Linked DNA regions of Notamacropus eugenii. The protein of the gene in region 2 interacts with the protein of the main gene of each other region in a biochemical or structural test. Links are inferred from orthologs where the notes say so. Each region holds a gene or a part of one and is shown on either strand. Other genes may lie near its edges. The genes, in order: SARNP and DDX39A.

Region 1 (12,207 bases), on a different chromosome or scaffold from region 2:
AAGCAAGTCATACTGACCACTTTCTGTCCCCATCCTATAGACTTCTCTGAAAGTGTGAGAGTGTGTGTGTGTATGTGCCTATGCGTTCACTATGAAACATGTGTCCAATCACCTGCAAATACGTACATTAAACAATGGCTGTCACAAGCACCATAGTACCACAAAAACCAAGTAAATGTTAATTTTCATTCCAGGGTAAAAACTAGGCCCTGCAGTGAATCCATAGAGGTAATATTACCTACCCTCTTCTCCAAAAGCCTCTAGCACTCTGGCTGACAAGAATCAGAAAAGTCAGTCAAGATAGATGCATAGGAAATAAAACAGACATAAATACTGATGGTATGTGTGACAAGAAATTAGGACCAGAGCCACAAGAACAGGTAGGTACATTCAGACCCCTCAAAAAGCAAACAACAAACAAAACTGCCAGAATTGCAAAACTTACCTCTTCTACAATAATCATTTCCTTATTTGATTATCCCAATCCTTAATACAATTTTCTACCTCCACTTTTGCTGACACCTCAATAAAGCATCCTCTCCCATATATCCTATCTAGTGATCTTGAAATCAGCACTTCTTAAACTGTGGATCTCTTGAACCTATGAGTCTTGACCCTTTGTGGGGTTTAAGAAGTGCTAAAGGGATCCTGAGTAGAAAAAGTTTAAGAAGCCTTGGTCTAGATCAAGTACAAATCCTCACTCCCTCCCTCAACCTTAAGTGATGTCTCCCTTATCTGGCCTCTTTTAGCAATTATCTGCACATCTACAGGAAAGGATGTATTAATCAGTGGTATCCTATTATAATAGCAAATTGCTTATTATTAAGCTTTTCATGTGTTTTAATTCTTCTCTCCCCAACTAGATTATAGGTCCCTTGAGAAAAAGGAGCATTTTACACTATGCATTTCTACATGCTACACTGTAGTATATATTCAAAAATATTTACCAACATTATGGTTGGGTATGCTAATTTATAGTATAATCTTGCACTTGTTAACATTTAGTTTGTACTCAGAATTAATAAAATTATTAGTTCAGAGTTGAGATAAATCTTAGAGGTCAACTAGTTCAACCTTACCCCCAAGATAGGAATGTCCTATACAACATGTCTGACAGATGATGATCTAGACTTTCTCTGCTCAAATACTTCAACTGACAAAGAGCTTGGTAAGTCACAAAATATTTCTGAATGGCTTTAATTGTTGAGAAATTTTTCCTTATGTTGAACAGACACCTGCTTCCATGAAGCTTCTCACTGGTTCTAGATCTGGCAACCAAAGCAAGGGTTCTAAAGAGGGTAAAAGTAGGGAGGAACCAGTCTGTGAATTTTGGTTAATTGGTTTTCCTTTATAATCCTACATATTTTAATTTATGCATATAAAAATTATTAGTCTGAGGAGTCCACAGATTTCACCAGATTATCAAAAATAATGACACAGAAAGTTTAAAAAACTTGCATAGGGTGACAAAAAAAAATAGCAACCCACTTAATATTTGAAGAGCCATTCCTCAAAAGATAAATGGCTATGAACATACCCACAACAAAGGGTGTGGAAAAACAAGATTGAGAGGAAAAGCAAACTATCAAGCACCAGATGAAAAACTGCTCTAAATCAATTAATAAGTAAGAAAAATACAAATTAAAACTCCAAAGGTTTCACCTCACACCTACAAAAAGAGTAAATGATGGAAGAGCTTTGGTAAGACAGAGAACACTGGTGCACTGTTGGTGGTACTGTGAACTAGTCTAACCATCCTAAATATCAACACGAAGTGTTCATATACTACATTATTACTGGACAAATACCACCAAGGCAATCAGTGACCAAAGGACCTCCATGTAACAAACATGGCAGCATTCTTTGTAGCGTCTCTTTGGGAAGCTGCTAGGTGGTAGAGCAGACAGACTTAGTAGCTGGAATACTGCCTCAGGCATTTACTGGCTGTATAACCCTGGGCAATCGACTTAGCCTCCCTCAGCCAGTTTCCTCATCCGTAAAATGGGGATAATAATAGCACCTACCCTACAGGGCCATAGTGAGGCTTAAATAAGATATCAAATAGATAAAGTACTTGGCAAACCTTAAAGCATTAATAAAATGCTAGCTATTATTAGCAATAAAATGCAAACAAAAAGGGCTTCCCTTGACTGAGGAATGGCTGGACACATGGTAATATGTGAACATAATGAAAAATTGTCATAATGAAAAATTGTGCAGAAAGAAATGACAGAAATGAAAATATCAAGAAATCAAGAGAACTTGTATGACCTGATTCAGAGTGAAGAAAACATAACTACATAAATCATATGCACAATGAGTATTAACGTAAAGGAAAATAATAGTAAAAAGTAGTTGAACTATGAACTGTAATGAACAATCTCTCACTCAAAGAACTAATATAGAAACATACCTTCCTCCCCTCAATATTAAGATGGAGACTATTGATGTGGAATGCGATACATACCACAGCTGTACTTACTTGTTTTTGTTTTTTTGTTATAGGAAATCAATGGGGGGGGAGCGGGTAGAGGAACTTAAGAGGAAAAAATTGTGGTATGAACACAATAGAGAAAAACAGAAACAAAACTTTTAAAAATTAAAAAAAACTGACAACACCTATCACATACCCAAGTCTTCCCTTCCCTGAATTAAACATACTTAGTTCCTTTAAGCAATCCTTACATGACACGGATTCCAGACCTTTCACCATTCCAGACAATCTAACTATAGACATGCTCTAATTTGAGAGATGGTGTGGAGTAAGGAAAAAGAACACTTGACTTGAAGTCGGAACAGAATTCATATCCTGGATCTGACATTAACTAGTTGTACAACCACAGGCAAGTCCATTAACATGCACTTCAGTTTCTTCATCTATAAAATGGAAATAATAACACTTAACACTACCTATCTCACAACATTGTTGAGGATATAAGCCATGAAGTACTATATAGACACATAAGCTAATATTATTGTCCATGTCTCTTTAAAATATAGCAGCCTAAAATGAAAATTCTGTTTAAGTAATTTCATATGTGTATATTTATCTCTATCAACTATATTATATTTCAAAGACAGGTACCTTACCTTGACTTATAATTTTGTTTTCTTCCATAACATTTATAGTGTTACTACATAACAAGCAATCCATAGTTGCTCAAGTGACTGTCAAAAGTAGCTCTTAAAATATAGATCTATGAAAAAGGGCAGAGAGCAAATAAAGAACTTAAAAGTCATAGATACAGAGCTGGAAGGGACCCCAGAGCCATCTAAGTTCAACACCCTCATTTTACAGAGGAGGAAACTGAAGCCCAAGGAGATTAAATAATTCATGCCTAAAGTGACACAGGTGGGAAGCATCAAAGGTAGGATATGAACCCAAGTCTGACTCTAGAATCAATGCTCTTTCCACTGTGCCACAATACCACACTATCCGCAAAAGGACAGTCAATGTATTCACTACTTAAATGAATTCCCACGATATAGTTTGGCTTTACCACTATTCCTATAGTGGTCTGTGTGGCACTTGACACACAAGCTTATCCCAGGAAAACCTGAGGTCAAGTCCTGCCTCTGAAACATACTGGCTGTGTGATCCTGGGCAAGTCACTTCACTTCCCTAAGCAACTCTCTAAGACTACAAGTTTCAGAGAAGATGCCAACCTGCATTAGTAGAGGGAGTTTCCTCATCCAGGAGTTGTGACTGTAGTCAAGACATTATGAAAGACAAGCCAAGAAGCTGCTAGAATTAATGGAAAACCAATATAACAATGAAATCACAGATCCAGTCCCCATCCCTGTATTTTAACAAACATTGTTCTCTACCATTTAGCTTTCTCCCTGGCCAGTTTGTATTTTGTGGTGGTTGCATTTCTTTACATTTTTCACAAATTTAAAGTCAATAGTATAGATAGGGTCAAAAATGAATAATCATTTCAAGAGAATAGAAATCAAGAGATTATAGTGCTAGAACTGGAAGGGACCTGAGAAGGCATGTATTCTAGCCCCCTCATTTTACAGAAAAGAAAACTGAAGCCCAGGGAGGATACGTGACTTGGCCAAGGTCACATAGCTAGTAGGTGTCAGTGGCAGGAATTGATCCCAGGGCTAGGAAATCTCATTAGTGCACACTTTACTGAAACAGAAGGCCTCCAGTCCTCAAAGGTCTTTATTTAAGGACTTCTGTTCACAGACAAAAAAGAAAATTTGAAAGCAAATATGACAAATCTGCATATCCTTTTAACCAGTGTGGTTATTTCAGTCCATACCTTGTCTTTTTCATTAAAATTAAGTAAAAGGTGGACTTCTGAGCATTCTTTTCTAATTATCTCTAAAAGCTCAATTAAAGTAAGCTAATGTCACCCAAACTAAACATCTTATTTCTCAAGAAAATTTTACATTCACATGTAAGCTAGAAAAATTAAAATGTTAAGCTCCAAAGCAGGAGTTCTTAACCTTATTTTCTGTCACTGATACCTCTGGCAGTCTGGTGAAGCTTATAGACTCCTCACAGTGTTTTTATATAATTGAAGGAAATGCTAAATTCCAGTGAAAGTTCAGTGAAACAACATTTTTCCCCATCCAAGTTCATGGACCCTCTGAAATCTGCCAACATCCCCCATGATTAAGAAGCCCTCCCATACAGCAAATAACAAGGGAAGATTCTTTCAATATAAGTAACAACTACGCCAAACTCCTTTAGATGCTGTGAGAGGTGAGAAATAGCATTTCATGAGGGAAAAGAAGACTCAGTTGTTTCTAGAGCAGGGGTTCTTAACCTGGGGTCTGTGAACTTACTTCTAAAAATATTTAAATAACTGAACTTCAAAATAATTGGTTACATCTTATGCATTTTATTTTATGCATTTAAATACATTATTCTAAGAACAGGATTACAGGCTTCACCAGACTGCTAATGGTGTCAATGACACTAAAAAAGTTAAGAATTTCTGTGGCATATGGACAGGCTCCTCTCCTACTCCTTCTCTATGTTCTTTTACAGTAGACTCTGATGGCCGGCATCAGTCCAGGAAAAGAAAAAAGCAAAACTGACATGCCATGGAAATGGAAAGCTTATAATTCAACCTTACACTCTCAACAAATGATACCATAAGAATAAAATCGGTTAAGCCAAGCAGAATCCAAGAAAATAAAAGTCCATGCTGCTAGGGCTAAGCATGTTTTAGTAGTGCCTATCTCAAGAGTATATCCAAGAAATCATAAACTATTTTTTCCTATTAGATATGCTTTAGATTGTCAGCATCAACAAGCCAGGTTGCAAATCTTATAGAGCACTTAATGTATTATATAATAAAGGAAATCGGTTTTTAGCTTGTTTCCCAAAAGGAAGTGAATAATCACTACCTGACAGGGGGACTGTTTGCCAAATTCTGAACGAACACCTAAAATCAACCAATATATCTCTTTTACCTATAGGAGGTTAATTCTTCTCCCCAAGTAAATAATACTAAAATCTTTGTCAACCATCCTATATTTCCCAGAGGATGACACAAAAGGAGGTGGAGGATAATAGGGAAAACTGAGTTTGTTTTTCAAAAAGCTTCCCCAGCTCCCTTCCTTATCTTGCAAAAGAAAAAAAAAACCTCCCTCTTCTTCTGAGGTGACCCCAGTGCCATCGAGTGCCTGAGGTGCGGGGAGGGGATGCCGGTGGTCCCCATTCCCGGGCTCTCCCAGGCTTCTAGGCTGGACTCAGGTACCATAACACCTCTGAGGAAGGAACTGGGGCGTCCCTGAGTCGTCCGGGCGAGCTGGACAGACACACAAACGCACGTGGGTGCCGCTACCCCAGCTTGCTGGGGACTCCTAGACTCGGAATGGAGAGGAGACCTGGGGAAGGAAAGGGGGTCGGGGGCAGAGAGGAAGGGGACAGAGGCGAGGGGGGTATGACGTGCTGCTACCTCTCCTGCCTCCTCGCAAGGGGAGAGGCAAACACACATTCTCGGCAGAAAGGGGGGAGGGAGAAGCGGTAAGGAGAGGGGCACCCCGAACGGAGAGAAAAGATGGCAGGGGGAAGGAACGAGAGGGGGGGGCAGCACGAGAGGAGAGGAAGAAGGCCCCAGAGACCAGCCTAACAGGGAGAGGACCGGGACGACAGTGAGGGGAGCCCCGGAGGGAGAAATGAGGGGAGGGAGGCGCCGGTCACCTCGTAGAGCTCGGCCCCCAGCCATGCCCGGGCCTCTGCCCCTCACGGTACCTTCAGCTTGTGGAGCTCCACCGTCTCCGCCGCCATCTTGTCACCCCCTCCTCCCCCAGTTTGCCCCCCTCTCCTGCCTCCGCCTTCTGGAGCTCCCGCCGAGACTCCGAGGATCACCACCACCCAATAGCCGTTGTTTATACTCCCACTCTTTACCATCAGCTTTTTTCATTCGTCGGCCGCCAGCATGGGTCCTCCCCCACGCGACGGTCTGCCGGAGAAGGGGATTGGAGAAGGGTTGGTTCCCTCCCACCAGAGTGACAGGCCCGCTGACTAACGAAACACAGAACATCGAAACGGGTGGCCAATGAGCCACGGCAGCGCCGGGCGTGGAGGGCCAATGGGGACAGTTCGAGGGCACGGCCGCTTCCAGGACACAACAGGTGGACTAGGTAAAGTAGCCGAACTTGCGTCTGGCGGAGTGGCCCTTGGAGCCTCCAGGTGAGGGGATTTGGGAGTGAGGGGATGACTCCGAGAGGAGCGGAGACAGGCCGTGACGGCGAGCTTTGAGGGGCAGGGATGGGGCCCCGGGCTACAGCCCAAGGGTCACTGGGACTCGGGGATCGGCTGGGTTCGGCCGTGGGCTGCCGGCTCGTCTGGAGGAAGGAGATTTGAACGCCCCTTCGTAGTGCGCCTCGGGGGGGGGGCGGGGGGCGGTTCCCGGAGCGCCTGCTCTGCCTGCCCCCACCCCGGGCGGCGGAAGGCCCACAACGTGCTCCCGCAGCTTCCTACATTTTCCAGAAAGGCCAATGGCAGCTCCCCCCGCCGAGGTTGTCGTCCATGGCAGCCCCGGACAGAGAATGGGAGGGGAGAGGTATCGTTCCCGAGCACGTCTACCTCCTGAGCACCTCCCCTTGGACTCACCTGATCTGATTCTCCTGCCCACCCCCGGAAGACGAGAGGACTGCCCCAAATTCCCCTCTATAGAAAGGAAGTGCTCCATGCCCCCTTTTCGCCTCCAACTACGGCCCCTTCCCCCGCTGTTCCCTTCAGGCTAAAGTTAGATTCCCCTCATCCCAGAAAGCTTTTTATCTCTCAGGCCTCAGTATACCAGAGGAGCGCCTTCCCCTCCTCCTCCCCCCAAGTTCAAGGTTCATTGCAGTCACCAAACCGGTAACCGAGGGAGGCAGACCAAAGGAAAGAGAACCCCGGTGAGTCCAGCTCCTGACTCACTATTGTGGCAGGATGAACGTGGGGGTGGCCCACAGCGAGGTGAACCCCAACACAAGGGTGATGAACAGCCGAGGCATCTGGCTAGCCTACATCATCCTAGTAGGGCTTCTACATGTGGTTCTACTCAGCATCCCCTTCTTCAGCATCCCAGTGGTCTGGACCTTGACCAACGTCATCCATAACCTGGTGAGCCTCCAGCCTAAATTCATTTTCTCTTATCCAGACTTGAATTCTTTGGGGATTTGCCCACCTGCCTCAAATCCATAGCTGAAAAGGATTTCTTCTACCTTCTCACCCCCTCCCAGGCCATGTACGTCTTTCTGCACACTGTGAAGGGGACACCCTTTGAGACCCCCGACCAAGGCAAGGCCCGGCTCCTTACACACTGGGAGCAGATGGACTATGGGCTCCAGTTCACCTCCTCCAGAAAGTTCCTCAGTATTTTTCCCATTGTGCTGTGAGTTCCAGGAGGGTGAGGGAGAAGCTAGGTAGAGTAGGTGTTGCAAAGGCCCCCCAAGGGGACATCAGTTAAGTGGAAGGTACCACCACAAGGGGTAGAATCTCTGTAAACTCACTGAAAAACTATGATCTAACCATGCTAGGAGGATAGAGGGTGTTCAGTTCACCAATTATGAAATCCAAAGTATGAAAGCCACGAATAGGCTTGCTGCCTCCCTGTGGTGGTAATGGGGATAGGAGCATCTGGGAAAACTTCAAAGAAATCCTCACCTAGATTCTGTGGTGCAAGACTTTGTTCAAGTGTACAACAAATGAAAGTATAATTGATTTAAAAGGAAGAGGGTAATGTCAGAGACAAGGGGACATTTGCAGTACTGTAGCTTGACCCTTCTTTCATTTTCCATTGATCAACACATTTTGCTATAAACTGTCTATAAATCTATAGAATCTATAAACTACTTCCCATTCAAGAGAAATGCTGTTCATGTGGCAATAGTGAGATAGAGCTGTCATTTAAGGAAATAACAAAACTGACTTAGGGGAAGATGGTAGAAAGAACAAAAAGAGGTCAGGGAAAGGTCCCTCTTTTTCATCATGTTCTTCTTTCTCTCCCCAGCTACCTCCTGGCCAGCTTCTACACCAAATATGATGCTGCTCACTTTGTCATCAATACAGCTTCACTGCTCAGTGTACTACTGCCTAAGTTACCCCAGTTCCATGGTGTCCGTCTCTTTGGCATCAATAAGTACTAACACCTGGCAATGATCACTTAGGTACAGGCTAGGGAAGGACAAGGAACAAAGAGCTGCTCTATCCTCCTTCCCTTTAGCAGCTGAAGACCTGAGGATCAACTGATCTTTTTTTGCCAACTCCAGGGAGATGAATTTGGGGGTAGGATGACTCCCCTGTACAAGTAAGGGCAGGTTCCTTAGAATCAAGAAATATGGGTAAGGGCTGGGCCCACTCTCCTGGCTGGTGCTATAGTTTATCTTTTCCAACTATCTACATCACTGCTATATAATAAAAGCTATTTTTCAGATGTAAATCTAGGGTAGTCAGCAGAACTTTGTGGGAGGTGAAGGAGGGCGAAAAGACTACATTCTTCCCAATCTTAAATTGAAAATAAACCTCTTTCTGATTATTATCATATCCCATGCCTCCCTGAAACTGTTTCTTGTCCCCACTCAACCAAGAGCAATCATCAGAGATTAGTAACTCTTATCATGTAGAAAATAGGGTCAGGGCAAGTGGGCACACAAAAGAGGTAGGCATAGCTTGCCAGTTATATTTATAGAAAGGTAAATCCCCTGGCTTTAAATAGATATGTACATACAAATATGAACAAACTTAAAAAAAAACCTTTTGATTACATAGGGATAGCTGGGGACAACCCCACCACCACCATCACCAAACTTGCTTTTTTGCCTCCTACCCACCAAGGGCGTGGGGACTTGAGTCTGCTTTAAAAAAAAATTGTCAAATCAGCCATCCTTGCAGAAACAACCCTGAGGTTAGGTAGGAACCATAGAACAGAAAGAGGCAGCATTTCCATTCCCTGAATGGTCCTGGGCTTTTACCCACCCCTGAATATAAGGGCCACTTGCCTCCTCACATGGATGATAGAGGAGAAGGCCCAGAAACAAAGGTCCAAGTTAACAACAGAATGAGTACCACCCTGGCCTTCGGAAGGAGGGACAATATAAGAGCCCCCCCCCAAACCCTAGAGAGCTCTGTCCCACACAAAATACTCATCAGTCCCAATCCTAGCCATGGTCTAGGCACAGGGCCCTTCCTGCCAACCACCCCACTATTTCTTTGGTATTGTCATCAAACAAGATTCAGTTCTTAGTTCCCAGAGTGGGGATTCAGTGGCTTCCCACAAGTCACTGAGTGAACAGGTAATGCTTGAAACTTTTTGAATATTGAAAATTTTTTAAAAAACAAAACAAGTTCCATCCTATGCTGTACACAGCCCTTATGATTCCCTGACACTGAGCTGAGGAGGGTAGAGAAGAGGAAGAGACAGGGCATCAGCGCTGGAAGGGCCTCCTCACTTTTTTCCGCCGCTTCGGTTTGGCTTCTGAACCTTTGGATGTGGTGGAACTGTCTGGCCTGGAGGGTGGGGTGGCCCCAGGGCCAGGCTGAGAAGCTGCAAAGAAATTTCCATTGGGCATCTGGCCTGGGGGAACCTGAAAGATCCGGCTGAAGAAATCCTGAAGGTCAGCAACTGAAGCTGGGGGGGCATCTGGAGTGACTCTGCAGTAAAACAAATATTGTGATGAGGAGATGAACATTCCTAAAGATACACAGATGTTTTACTTATTAAGTAAAAGTACCAAGTCATTGGCCAGGATACACTGGGATACTAAACTGTTCTGTATAACCAGTTCTCTGAAACAACAGGCAGGGAAAAAAACACTACCTACCTCTGCCGCCCACCAGGACCAGGAAACCGGGACCCAAATGAGATGTGATAGGGGACTCTGTGGGTATCAGGGGAAATCCCCACACGCTGGCACCCAGCCCATTCTGCAAACAAGAGGGAGGCAGATAAAACAGTACAACTCAACCCAAGTGAATATCCAAACTCCATTCTATGTAACTATATGTCCAGGCCCTTCCTAAGACTTGTTCAGTTGTTTCAGGTGTGTCTGACTCTTCTTGACCCCATTTGGAGTTTTCTTGACAGAAATACTGGAGTGGTTTGCCATTTCCTTTTCCAGCTCATTTTCCAGATGAAAAAATAGGCAAACAGGGTTAAGTGACTTGAGCAGAGTCACACAGCTAGTGTCTGAGGCTAGATTTGAACTCACAAAGATGAGTCTTCCTAAATCCAGGCCTGACACTCAATCCACTGCACCCCCTAGTGGCCCTCCTAAGACTATATAGCTTCCACATTATCCAGCATCACAGACAACTAAACATTCTGGCCCTTCTGTTACCCATTCTTTTTTTCTATTTATTAATTTGTTTTCAGTTTTCTACAATCACTTCCATAAGTCTTAGATTTTCTCACTCTCCCTTCCCCATTCCTCCCTAAGATGGCATGCAATCTTATATGGGTTCTACACATACATTCTTATTAAACACATTCTCACCTTAGTCATGTTGCAGAGAAAAATTAAAATGAATGGGAGAAACCATGAGAAAAAAACAAAACATAACACAAGAGAAAATATTCTGCTTCATTCTGCAATCCAATTCCACAGTTCTTTCTCTGGATGTGGAAAGCGTTTTGCCTCAAGAGTCCATTCGGAATATTTTAGGTCCTTGCATTGCTGTAAAGGGCTAAGTCTACCAGAAAAATTCCTTACACACTGTGGTTGTTACTGTGTACAAAGTTCTCCTGGTTCTGCTCCTTTCATTCAGCATCAGTTCATATAAGTCCTTCCAGGCCTCTCTGAAGTCCTGTTCATTATTTCTTATAGTAATAGTATTCCATTACATTCATGTACCACAACTTGTTCAGCCATTCCCCAATTGATGGGCATCCCCTTGATTTTCAGTTTTTGGCCACTACACGGAGAGTTGCTATAAATATTTTTGTACATGTAGGACCCTTTCCCATTTCTATGATCTCTTGGGGATACAGTCCTAAAAGTGATATTGCTGGATCAAAGGGTATGCAGATTTTTGTGGCCCTTTGGGCATAGTTCCAAACTGCTCTCCAGGTTGGGTGGATCAGCTCACAGCCCCACCAACAATGAATTAGTATTTCAACTCTCCCACATCTTCTCCAACATTTATCATCTTCCTGTTTTGTCATGTTAGCCAATCTGACAGGTGTGATGTGGTACCTCAGAATTGTTTTGATTTATATCTCTCTAATCAATAGTGATTTAGAGCGTTTTTTCATATAACTATAGATAGCTTCAATTTCTTCCTCTGAAAACTGCCTGTTCATATCCTTTGACCATTTATCAACTGGGGAATGACTTGTATAGTGCATTTGATTCAGTTCTCTGTATTTTACAAATGAGGCATTTATCACAGACACTAGTTGCAAAAATTCTTTCCCAGTTTTCTGCTTCCCTCCTAATCTTGGTTGCATTGGGTTTGTTTGTGCAAAACTTTCCAATTTAATGTAATAAAAATTACCCATTTTGCACTTCATAATGTTCTCTATCTCTTGTTTGATCATAAATTTCTCCATTCTCCACAAATCTGACAAATATACTATTCCTTCCTCCCCTAATTTGTTTATAGTATCAATCTTTATACCTAGATCATGTATGCATTTAGACTTTATTCTTGTGTATGGTGTCTGTTACCGACATTCTAACCTATCCTGAGGCAGGGTTGGAGTATACCTGTGATGTCATATACTTTTCCATCCATCATGGCAAAATAAGTGATCT
Region 2 (13,106 bases):
TGCCATGAGCACAAGAAGGCTGCCCATTCCCAAAATGTGGCACAAAAGAGATCATTAAAGAAGTTTACAAGCAGAAAAGGAGATGTGCCTGTCCCATGGCAGACAGTCCAAGTGCTACCCTGGGACTAACAAAATTTAAAAAGTAGAGGAGCATCTCCAGCACACTGGCAGGGCCCTCTGCGGAAGTATGGCTCATAGATAAACACTGTCAGTAAAGGAATCCTAATAAAGCTGCCCAGACCCAATATTCTAACTTCCTTATAGAGCCCACTAAACAGCAGGCCCACTGCCCCTACCTGGCCACTCCACCACTCAATATCCTGACTTCTTCATATATGCCTCACTGTTCACTGGAACAAAAGGTATGTCCAAGAACTCATATTTCCCACAGAAATAGTAGGTGTGTCTATGCGCTCAATCACAACCTCATCCATCTAGTCTGAGACAGGACCACAGTAGTCAGTCAATCAGAAAGCAGCACCACCAGGATGCCCAAGCAGGATGTGGACTCCAAAACAACAGAAGGGACTTTCCCTAAGCAGGGACCTGCGCAATAATAGCAATAGCTGTGAACTTATGATATAGAGAGGCTCATGATAATATCATTATTATACATACATACCCCCTCAAATGGCTTTTTTCTGTATGCATTGTGGGTAATCACATGCACAGTTCCATTATGGCTGGGACCCCTTCCCTATTACCTAATCCCTTAACAAATCCCTCCTGCTTTTTTAATATCTATAATTTTTGTTATTTAATTGTATCTTTACCCTATAAAAATCGATCTTGCTTTCTCTGAAGTTGCTGGTTCCTCTTGGAATTTAGCCCACTTCATGAGAGGTATCAATCTCAATAAATGCCTATTCCAGGATTAGAGGTGGTCTGACCCTGAATTTTTTGAGATGGTGCTGCCATAACACAACGTGAAACTGCAACATCAAGAATTACAGAGAAGTTTGCAATTTTCACTGATGAAATATGTATTTATACCAATCCATCTAAGTATATAAGGGGTATATAAAAAAGTGGAATACTGTGACCAAGTCCCTGAGAGTAATGGCTACAACTTACCCTCTCTCCTTAGCAGGGCCTAACAAGACTGAGAACAAAGCCTCGACAGACATCTGCTGAATTAAAACCAATTCCATAAGCACTTGGAAGTACATCTTTAAAGGGTTCACCCACTTCTTGTCTCCAAGGAAGATCATGGAGGTGAAAGAGAAGTTCTCTTCATATCTTCAGAGGGTTCTTACTTACTGTAGAAGACAGACAGAAAGACCCTCCCCAGCCCAGTACCTGTCCATCCACAGGCTCAATCTGTTGCAGGGTAGCCAACACAAAGACCGCTGTCTTGCCCATTCCAGACTTGGCTTGGCATAGCACATCCATTCCCAAGATGGCTTGTGGAATACATTCATGCTGGACTGAGAAAGAAACAGTATTCTTCTAAGTAGGGGAATATGCTGTGAAGATTATCAGGCTTGGAATCAGGAGATCAGACTTCTAGAATCCCAGCTCTGGAACAGGCTCACCGTATCACTTTAGGCAAATCATTTAAACAATCTAGGCTACATTTTCCCTTTACAGGTATAAATATCATGCCTAGCCTGCCTACCTCACCAGCTTAGTGTGAGAATCAAATGGGATAATGGAAGCAAAGTGTTAAGTGGAAAAAAAGTAATTACTGTGAAGTAGGAAAACAAGACTTTAGAAATCAGGAAAGCATCTGATCAAAAAGGACTTAAATAGAGCCCTTCAGCTCCCTGACAAGTGAAGGGCTAAAGGAAGACCACAGAAAATCTGATTAGATGCCTAAGCAGTCATCACCAGTTATGTAGTGTGTGTGTATGTGTGTATGTGTATGTGTGTGTGTGTGTGTGTGTGTGTGTGTGTGATTTCTAATTTAATAGCTTTTGATGTCTTCATCCTAGAGAGCAAACTGAATAACTGCTGTTCTAGATGAGCAAACCTGATCAAATCAGGTACTACATGTAAAGCACTTTGCAAACTTCATAGTGCTATATAAATGTTAGCCATTATTATTCACCAGAAATACTACCTATTTCTGTGAATAGCTGGAACTGCGAAAATGGAAGGGGGAGAGGCCTACCTTCAGATGGATGCTCAAAGCCACAGTCCACAATAGCCCTCAGAAGCTCTGGCTTCAGAAGGAAATCCCTGAAGCCCGAGCTATGAATGGAGACATAGGAGCCCTTCACATCCTTCTTGGCAGGCGTAGGTGTGCTCTCTGTCATGGGCTGGGGCTCCTCATCCTCTTCATAATCAAGCAGTTCATTCTCCACATCTTGTTCAGCCATTCTGCCCTGAGGAGAAAAGAAAGATGTAGCTGGTTCATCACAGATGGCAGGAAGAAGGGCAGTACCTGCTTTTCCAGGCCACTGACAGAGAGAGGACAGGGGTCAACCAAGTGCTAAGTACAAAAAGACAAAAACACAGATCCCCCTCAATCCCTGGACACATCAAGAGTCCAAAAGTCCTTTTGCACTGTCTGTACTAGAGATTCTAACTCCTCAAATCAAAGCTGGAAGCCAGCAAGCACCATGAATCTTGCCCTCCTCATGGCCATTTCTGCCTAGCAAACTATCTTATCAGACAACCAACATATTTGAATACTTGTGTTCAATACCCATCTGCAGTAGGCACGGAGTGGAATAAGTACCAGGGAGACTCAGCAGTGGAAAACTCACAAGCCAGTTAAGACAAGACCACACATTCTAGAGGCATAAGGTAAAAAATAAAGTTCACTACTAGGGATGGGCAGATTGCTGCTATAGAGCCCCAACTTAAAACTGCTCTTTCTCCCTCTATTTGGGGCTCATACTACACCACCCTTAGTTAGAATGCTTTTATTAAAAAGCCTCCTGCCAAGATGTAGATCTATACCAGCATACAGATCATAATACCTACTTCTATCACCTAAGCTTCTTAATTAGGTTAATATAGCCTGAAAAGAAGAATCCGATTAAAAGGCAGTACTTATTTTAATCCATGCGTTAAAATGTATTTATGACAAAACCTTGTAGTTAAAAGAAAATTTAAGCCAAATATTCTCTGCCACAGAACTTGGGAACTTCAAATCCACAAACATAGAGGAAGACAAAGACAGGATGAATCAGGTGCCTTCTTTCCTTGGACTCCAAAACACCGTCTTTTTGCTTGATTAAAACATCCAACAAAACTTTTAGCAATGCTTTCCCATCCAATACCAAAAAAATCTACTGTTAACCATCTACATGTTAACCATCTTTGGGACCCCCAAAATAAAGCTTAAAAATGTTCTTCCTGTCACCAAGAACATTTATGATATCACGTCTTCTCTCTCCTGATATTCAGTCTCAAGTTATTTAAAAGTTTGTGTGCCTCAGAATACTAGCTACAGATTGCTGGCTCTCACCCTTAAGAAGCTCACACCTGGAACCAGGTGCTCAGGTAAAGAATTAATAATTTATGAGCACCTAATGAATATGTAATTTAAGCTAGCAATTATAACTTTAAACAAAAACAGGAAAAATTTAGAAAAGTCAGTAAGCACACAGGCCTTTCCACTCTCTTTCCAACCTGTATTAACCTGTGTAGCTGTCCCATAAAGGCCATGGAATTCATGGACACACCGAGTTTTTCTTAACTTTTAATTTCTAGTTCCACATTCTTTCCCTCTCTCCATCCCTTCTGAATTCCTAAGAATACGCTAAAAAATATTTTTTCATGTTCATTTACAAAAGCCTCTGTACAAGTTTACTAGACTGAGTCTACTCCAGAAAAGACTGTTAAAATCCATCCTTTTCAGTGAACTTGTCACTACCTTGAAAAGATTTCCTTTAAACTGTCACCCACCAAAATATTTCCTGTAGCAGCGTGGAAGCAAAAGACTCCAAACCTAGGCCAGCGGGGCGAAAAATCTGACAAGTTATGGAGAAAATACTTAGGAGAGTCTCGGACGCTGGCAACCGCCTAAGTCCAAAGAGCGGATTTATGGGCCAGGGTGGTCCTGGAGGGGCGGATTTTTTCAGTCGGAACTGACTACGCCTTCTGTGAGAAGTGGGGTGCCTGTGGCAGTGGTGAGGGCACCCACATTCAGGAAATCCTGTATGCCTAAACTAATTAGGGAGAGAGAGGAGTGGGGACCGTGGGAGCGAGGGCGCAGTCAGAGGACAGACACGTCCCGGGAGGCTCCGCCAAAGCTTGTGCAGGAGGGGGATCCCCACCAAAGCACAAATTTGAGGGGTTCCCTCTCGGGGACATTCTCGTAAAGTACAAATACGGGAGACTCCCTCCAGGGCACACGGGTGTCCCCTGCGTGGACAGGCGTGGGCGGCGGGCTCCCGATGACCCTCAGACAAATGCTCTGGGGCCCCCCGGCTTGGATCTCGGGGTGCAGACCACAGCTGCGGGGGCAGTCTCCCACGTATTTCATGAGCGAAGGGCGTCCCCGCCGCCGGGCTCCCCAGGCCTCCCGCCCCACGCGGGCCGCGCGCCTTCCGCAGCCCGGCGCCCCAACGGTCGGGCGGCCCGGAGGTGGCATGCGCGCGCCACCTGCCCCGGCCGCGGCTCCGCCCCCGCCCTTGCCCGGCCCGCGGCAGCGCGCGATGAGCTTCCCTGTCCTCCCCGGGGCCTGCGCCATCTCAGCCTCGCCGCGTGCCTGCCGCTTCAGCGTCAACTCCGCAGGCCTTTCCCGGCCCGTCATCTCCAGCGCGCCCAGGACCTCGCGGCCTGCGGCCCCCTCCTCCGCCCCTTACCTCTGAGCTGAGCGCTTGCCTCCGGCTGCCTACACGCGCTCCCAAAGCCAAGAGTTAACTCAGGAGAGGTGTCGCGTTCGAGTGGAAACCGCCTCCCCTACTTCCTTCTCTTCCTGCTAAAATTGGCGCACCACCTCCAAACTTCCCGGCTAACTTGCCTTGTTCACTGGGCTGTCAGCCTTTCACTCAGAAGGGAGCAAGCTCTGATTGGTTGATTGGTCTCGGCCGCGCAACCTATAGAGGGAGAGGGGACGGTCCCAATGTTTCATTGGGCAAAGTCTGCGTCGATCCCGGCGAAAGTCCTTCTGAGTGGTTTAATTAATTCCAAGGGGCCGTCTCGAGATGGGACCATATGACCAGGCCTGGCGAATACCTAGGTGCTACCATACTTACTAATGGCAAGATCATCTAGTGAAGCCAGCCTAGAGCGTTGTGCATTGTGGGTAAAAGGCCGGAACTCCTGTGGATCGCCCTCCTGTGGAGCTCTACTGTCTTCCAGTGCTTCTTAGGGTGTGATAGGGAAGTCAGGCTCCCCAGGTTCCAATCCCAGCCTATCCATAACTACCAATTGTAACTAACAATTCTGGCACCGAGGTCAAGCCCCACAAAACACGCCCAGGTGCTCCCCGGTCAAATTTTGAAAATAAATTCGGCTATTGAGGTGGGGGAGAGGAGTCCTCAGCACCTAAGGCGGGGGAAAATGCAGGAGGGGTCGGGGAGAAGGACCTAAGAGACTCTGTAGACGGGTCAGAGATTCTGGAAAAGCCAGGCGAGGCCAGAGAGGGTGTCCAGGGAGTCCAGGAAGAGCTCCCTAGGATGTTAGCTTATTTTACCTAATTATTCCTGCTATTTAGGCGCTAAGCCAGGTTCTTTCTACCTGGTCCAGGTGCTCTACGATCCGACAACACTTGAAATGAAGCTCTCTCGCTACCCCGTTCCTTTTCCAAATCCATGCCTTCTCACTGTCTTTCTCTTATACCTGAAATGCAATCCCTCTGGTTTCTTTCTGAAATCCCACCACATCCAAGGGATATTTCACAGTATTTCACCCCTCCCTTTGAGTTCATTCCCTGTCATCTATTATGGCTATATCTGGTATTCCTCTCCTAGATCACTGCTGTATTGTGGTAGGTGACTTTGGAAGGTCAGGGAAACTGAGCTATGCCATGCAGGGTTACCCAAGACGGACTGGTCATAGTGAAGAGTTCTGACCAAAGCTCAGTTCTCCAATTCTCACTGGAGAAGGAAATGGCAAGCCACGCCATTAACTCCATAGACTATATTAAAAAGGATAAAGGATATCACACGGGAAGATGAGCCCTTCCGGTGGGCAGCCAACAGTTACTGAGAGAGCCCAGGACAACTACAAGTAGATGCAGTAACTAATGAAGCCATTGGGCCAAAGCCAAAAGGAAGCTCAGTTGCAGATGTGTCTGATGACGAGAGGGAAGTCCAGTGCTATAAAAATCATTATTACATAGAAACCTGGAATGTAAGATCTATGAACTAAAGTAAGCCAGATGTGGTCACACAGAACATGAAAAGATCAAACATCGACCCATTGGGTAAAAGGGGGATGGCAGAGGATGCAATAGATGGTGTCATGGAGGTAATGAACTTGAGTTTGGACAGACTTCAGGAGGTAGACTTCAGGGGTGCTATGGTCCATGGAGTAACAAAGAATCAGATGTGACTGAACAGCACAACAGATATCTTGTATTTACATCATTACTTGTATGTTGTCTTCTCCACTGGAACAAGAACTGCATGAGGGCAAGGATTGAGTTTTTAACCTTTCTTTGTATGCCTTGTGCTTCATAAACACTTAATAAATGCTTATACACTGACTTGGAGCTCTGGAAAAGGGGGACAATTACAATGAGCTCTCCCTAAGTTTCTGAGTCTAAGGACAATGCCGCAAGCAGCTTACTCTGGTTCATTCTAGGTGTAAGGGGTAGCCAGGAGATGGATCATCCTATCTATGGAATAGCAAATAGGTCAGGTCAACTAGATGGCAAAATGCATAGCAGGGAATAATGTGTAAAATGGCTGGAAAGGCAAAAAGAGGCCAAGGTGTGAGGCTCTTGAAAAGTGAAATATAGGAATTTATATTCACTGTAGGTACTAGAGTTTAATGGGGGTGGGAGGGATATAACATGATCAACCAAAAGACTCCATTCACTCCTTCATCAGTCCCCGCTTCAAAGGAACTCACTCAATACATTATGTATTAGATGCCTGCTGTATATTCACACTTATAACCAAAGGTTTGCCAGTGGAAAAGAATTCTTTCAGCTACAGCAAATCAAGAAAAATGTGGAAGGATTAGCATATTTTGTATTTATATCACAATTATGTCCCTGCTAGAAATGAGAGGAGGAAGGGGATAAGCATTTCTATAGCACCTACTATGTTCCTTCCAGACACTGTGCTAAAAATATTACATCATTTGATCCTTACAACAACCCTGCTGGTCAGGTGCTGTTATTATCACTATTTGAAGAAACTGAGGCAGACAAAAGTTAAGTGACTTTCCCAGGATCACACAGCCAGACCTAATGCTCTAGCCACTGCATCACCTATATGCCTCAGGGACATTATGAAAGGATTCTTGCTCAGAGATAGGTTGGGTTAGGTGATTGCTAAGGTCCTTTCCAACTCTGATACTCTGTTGTTTACTGAACACCAGCTATGGCAAAGAAAGGTCTGTGTTTGAGAAAAAGCATCACTGCTCTTTGGGAACTTGTCTTACTGGAAAAATGTCACCTATGGTGACAGAACTGGTATGTGGTAGCCGAGCTCCTCTGACTTCAGATCTGGCTAAGGCTGTGTCACATTGACATTTAACTCAATCCTACTGAAAAAGCAAAGATTAAATACTACCTGTACTTATTAGAGAGTCATCATGGTATAGTGGGAAGAGTGCTGGGCTTAGAGTCAGCTCAAATCTGAGTTCAAATCTGACCTTAGACCCTGGTCAAGTCACTTAACTTCCATTTGTTTCAGTTTTACACAACTTTAAAATGGGGATAATAATGGCCCTTACCTCCCAAGGTGATTATGATAATTATAAAGTACTTAACACAGTGCTTGGTACATAGTAAGCACCATATAAGTATTAGCTAGTAGTAATAATAGTAGTAGTAGTAGTAGTAGTAGTGGTAATAGTGGTAATAGAGAGCTGACCTTGAAATCAGAAAGTCCTGGCTGTGACCTAAACTGGTTGAATGACTTTGAGTGAGTCTTTTAAATTTGTCAAGGCTCCAGGTAACTCTCTGTGATGATAAGTCTCAGAGAAGGTACTGACCTAAATTGGTTAGGAAGAGTTTCCTTACCTGGGAGTTCCCTAAACCAATGAAATCACAGGTCTAGTCTTTATTCCTATGTTGGGTTTTTTTTTTTAAGAGAGCCAGCCTTGTCCAGTAGATGGAGAGCCACCAGCCTTGGAGTCAAGAATAGTTAGTTAGTGTTTATATAGCACTTTAAGGCTTGTAAAGCCCTTAATATACATATATATGTGTGTATGTATGTGTGTACGTGTATGTATGTATGTACATGTATACATATAATATAAAAAATTTCATTTGATCTTCATGGTGACTCTATGAAGTAAGTACTATCATTATCCTCATCTTACAAATAAGGAAAACTTGAGCCTGAAGATATTAAGTGACTTGCTCAAGGTCTTCCATCTAGTAAATGTCTTGGGCAGGATTTGAACTCAGACCTTCCTAACTCCCAGTTCGGTTCTTTAAAGAAGAGCTAGGTTTGAATTCTGCCTCTTACACATACTAGTTGTCTGACTTATAGGGCCCTGGACAGCTCTCTCAGATTGTAAGTTATAGATTGTTGCTTATCTGTATTGACCAGGTATTCCTTTCTGGGGTAGAGAGCCTTTGACCTTGAAACCCCATGTGGCCTTCTAGATCCTTGAGTTGTGACCTTTTGACTGAGTCCAAGTTTTACAGAACAAATTCTTTTATTAAGGGGATTTGTTCTGTGAAATTTGGATTCAGTCAAAAGGCTGCACTCAAGGACCTAGAGGGTCCCATATGGCCTTGAGGCTCCAGGTTCCCCACCCCTTTGAGACCGGGTGTAGTCACATCAATGAAAACCTCACAGGTCTGTCCAGAAAAGCACTTCTGTATGCTACAAGGCACTGTTATCAGTATAAGGACTGCAAAGACTAAGTAAAGGCATGTTCTTGGTCTTAGGTGTCATTCCAGTCTAATACGATTACAGTATATTAGCAAATTAGTATAACAGGAAATCTAAACATGTGTGGGACAAAGAAGTAATTCAAAGTTCTTTTAAAAATTTTTTTTGATTTATTTTGTTAAATATTTTATCCCGATTACATGTAAAGACAATTTTTTTGCATTTTTTAATATTATTTTTGGTGATTTTTACAATTTTAAACTTAAGTACAAAATAAGAAAAGAAACAAATTTAAATACAAAATAAGAAAAAAATTGACGTGCACAGCAGAATGTATGAAAGGATTCAAAATATAAAGCAATTAATTTCCATTTCAATAAAACCTATATAATATAAATAGTACACATTTTGTTTAGAGCTGTCCATCTTTACTTCCTTGCAAGTTTTATTTTGTTTTCTGCAATGTACTTTTTGTTTTGTTCTTTTTTCCCCTTCCTCCTTCCCAAGAAGGTTACAATTAAGCAAAGATACACACACATTCATATATACACATATACATACAAACATATATAGACATACATATACATAGATATCTATAATCATTACATTCATTTTTTAAATAAAATTTTGAGTTCCAAATTTTCTCCCTCCCTTCTTCCCTACTCCCCCCCACCTAAGAGGGTAAGCAATTTGATATAGGTTGTATATGGGCAGTCATATCAAACATTTCCATATTAGTCGTGCTGTGAAAGAAACAAACCAAAAGAACAAAAACACACACAAAACAAAAAAAATGAAAAATAATATGCTTTGATCTGCACCCAGATTCCCATCAGTTCTTTCTCTGGATGCAGATAGCATTTTCCATCATGAACCCTTGGAAATTGTATTGCTAAGGAGAGCTAAGTCTATCAAAGTTGGTCATCACGCAATGTTGCTATTACTGTGTACAGTTTTCTCCAGGTTTTGCTCCCTTCATTTTATTTCAGTTCGTGTAAGCCTTTCCAGGCTTTTCTGAAATCAGCCTGCTCGAATGATCCAAAATTCATGAGGAAAATGTGAGTATAGAGAAGTTGCTTTCAGTCAAAGTAATCAGAAAAGTTTCATGGAAGTGGAAAGGACTTGAACTGGGCCAAGAAAGAAGAGAAGGAATTCCCCTATCCTATCCTATCCTAATCCTATCCTATCCTAAAATAATTTTATAGGTAAGGAAACAGGCCCAGTAAAGAGAGAAACATGATCTAGTTGAAGAATAACTGAACTTGGAGTGAGAAGACTTCAGTTTGAGTCCCACTTCCCACAATGTAACTGTGGAAATCTGGGTTCAAATTCCAGATCTGCCATTTCTGTGTTTTGTATACCCTTGGGTAAGTTTCTTCTTTCTTCCTCCTTAGTCCTTCATCTGAGAAATGAGGCAGTTGGACTGGCTGATCTCTAAGTTACCTTCAGTCTGTAGTACTGTGTGACTCTGGAATTGGTGACTAGTTAATAACAGACAGACCAACTAGAGCCCAGATCTCTCACGTCCCACACCAGAGTTTTTTTCCTACCTCTGGCTACCACCCTTGGATTTAGACTCACTGGGACTTTCTCAACAAAAGAGATATAATGTAACCTGTACACTTTTCACTACTCCTCAGAAATTGTTGCTACTTTCACCAGATTGAGAGCTCAGATGGATCCATCTGAGCTCTCCCCATACACATTTATGGACAGTAGAAATATCTAGAACTGCTACAGCAACCCTCTAGAGAGTTCCTAGAGTTCTAGAGAGAGTTCCTAAACAGTAAAAAAAACACCTCTAGAGATCACAGGAATAAATGAACCTTTCCGTAATATAATAAATAGTATTTTAAAAAGCTTTATTGTTTTCTTTTTACATTACAAACATTTTATAGAGTAATACTCCCTACTCTATGAGAACTCTCTTGTTACAAAGAAAAACAAATAATACAGTGTTCTCATCTGAAAGTACACCCAAGATTCCACATATCTATTATTCCCCCACCCTGTCTTTAAAAATCAACAGAAATATGTTTTCTTTCCCTCCCACCTCCTATCGCACTGGCAAAAAAAAATTCATTGTAACAAATGTATATGGTCTTTTTGTACCTTAAATACATCACCTTTCTGACATGGATGTCATGTGTCACTATTATCCTCTGAAATTATGAATGGTCATTGTGTTGATCAGAGTTCTAATAACTTACAAAATGATTTGTTTTTATAGAAATTGTTCTTATTCAAATTGTCCTCATTCTGCTCATTTCATCAGTTTATAAGTTTTTACAATTGTTCATTTTCATAATATTAATTATATTCAATAATATATTCAATAATATTAATTATATAATATTGTATAATATTAATTATAATATTAAGTGTTCATTTGGTTCTGCTTATCTCACTCTGCAACAGTTCATGTACATCTTTCCATGTTTTTTTTAAATCCTCTATTTCCTCATTCCTTATAGAATAATTATATTCCACCACATTCAGATATCACAACTTATTTACTATTTCTCTATTGATAGGTATCCCCTTAATTTCCCACTTTTTTGCCACCACAAAAAGAGCTGCTATAAATATTTCCATATGCATGGGACCTTTTCCTCTTTCTTTGATTTCATTTGGTCTGGGTATGGTACAGCTGAGTCATGTACCATTTAGTAATTTTTTCAGTATGATTCTAAATTACTTTCCAGAATGATTGTACCAATTTTCTACTCTACCTACAATGTGCCCCTCCAACATTCATCATTTCTGTTTTTTGTCATTTTTGCCACTCTAATGGGTATGAGATGAGATCTCAGAATTGTTTTAATTTTTATTTCTCTAATTAGTAGTGATTTCAAGCATTTTTTTTCATATGGCTATAGGTGGCTTGGATTTCTTCCCTTGAATACTGCCTGCTCATACCCTGAGATAGAGCAAGCATTATATATACTGGAGAAAATTTAGAGGACTTTCTAATAAAATGAAGGGTAAAGCAAAGATATGCATCATCATCAGTAATATTTAGCATACTGCTAGCTATAAATTTAAGACAAGAAAGAGAAACAAAGAGAAGATAAAATTATCAGTTTTTGCAGATGATAGGATGATGTACTTAGACGCTAGCTAAAAATTAACTGAAATAATAACTTCAGCAAAGTTGCAGGACATAAGACAAATCCACACAAATCATCAGCATTCTTACACATTACAAACAAAATTGGACAATAAAATGTATAAAGAGAAATTCCATTCATAACACCTATAGAGGCTATAAAATACTTGGTAGTGTGTATTCCAAGATTCATCCAAGGACTACATAAATCTAATTATAAAATGTTCTTTAGAGAAACAAAGACAAACCTAAATCATTGGAGAAACATTAATTACTCAAGAGTAGATCAAGTCAATATAATAAGAATGATAATACTCTCTAAATTGTTTATTCAATACTATTCTAATAAAATTTAAAAGAATATGTACAAAGCTGGAAAAAAATAACAAAATTTATATGAAGGGACGAAAGGTCAAAAATTTCAAGGGTAAAAATTTTTTTAAAGTAGGAAAGAAGGAGGTCTATCAGTACCAGGTCTCAACGTGTACTATAAAACAGTAATCATGTAAACAATTTTGTAATCAATTAGCATTTATTAAGCACATACTATGTATGGTATACATCACACACTATGCTAAGCACTCATACTTATTTAAAAAAAGATGGAGGGGTGGAGAATTTATCAGTGAAAGAGATAAGGTATGCAGCATAAAAAAAGAGGGAAAAAAACAGAGCAGTACAGTGTTTGACAAACCCAAATACTCTATATACTAAGGAAAAAACTTACTATATGACCAGAAATTCTGAGAAAATTGAACAGCAATCTGGCAGACATTAGCTTTAGATCAACACTCATATCATATACCAATATAAGCTCCAAATGGGTTCATGACATAGGTATTAAAAATCACAGCATAAATAGATTAAAGGAGCAAGGAAGAAATGCTGTTTTAGATCTACGGATAAGGGAAGAACCAATGATTAGATAAAAGATAAAGAGGATCATACATGATACAATGGAATGTATTGGTTATATAAAACTAAAAAATTTTTGCACAAACAAATCTAATGTAAAAATTAAAAGGGTAGCCAATAACTGGAGAGTGGGGTGGGAGAATCCTTATAACAAGTCTCTCTCA

The links.
Region 1: the proteins of DDX39A (region 2) and SARNP form a complex in vitro, tested with the Homo sapiens proteins (2 studies listed by BioGRID). The link is inferred for Notamacropus eugenii from reciprocal best matches to the Homo sapiens genes DDX39A and SARNP.

What each region holds. Positions count from the first base shown.
Region 1 is NC_092874.1:231,062,939-231,075,145, forward strand, and holds the start of SARNP (SAP domain-containing ribonucleoprotein), read right to left. Parts: upstream 6,386-12,207; 5' UTR 6,377-6,385; coding exon 6,218-6,376; intron 3,741-6,217; exon of another isoform or gene 3,694-3,740; coding exon of another isoform or gene 3,667-3,693; intron 1-3,666. Other genes in the region: ORMDL2 (ORM1-like protein 2), read left to right, coding at 6,525-6,658, 7,402-7,576, 7,696-7,847, 8,466-8,601. UniProt on the Homo sapiens protein: Binds both single-stranded and double-stranded DNA with higher affinity for the single-stranded form. Specifically binds to scaffold/matrix attachment region DNA. Also binds single-stranded RNA. Enhances RNA unwinding activity of DDX39A.
Region 2 is NC_092875.1:76,519,186-76,532,291, reverse strand, and holds the start of DDX39A (ATP-dependent RNA helicase DDX39A), read right to left. Parts: upstream 4,949-13,106; 5' UTR 4,761-4,948; intron 3,919-4,760; exon of another isoform or gene 3,827-3,918; intron 2,328-3,826; 5' UTR 2,322-2,327; coding exon 2,114-2,321; intron 1,428-2,113; coding exon 1,300-1,427; intron 1-1,299. UniProt on the Homo sapiens protein: Helicase that plays an essential role in mRNA export and is involved in multiple steps in RNA metabolism including alternative splicing. Regulates nuclear mRNA export to the cytoplasm through association with ECD.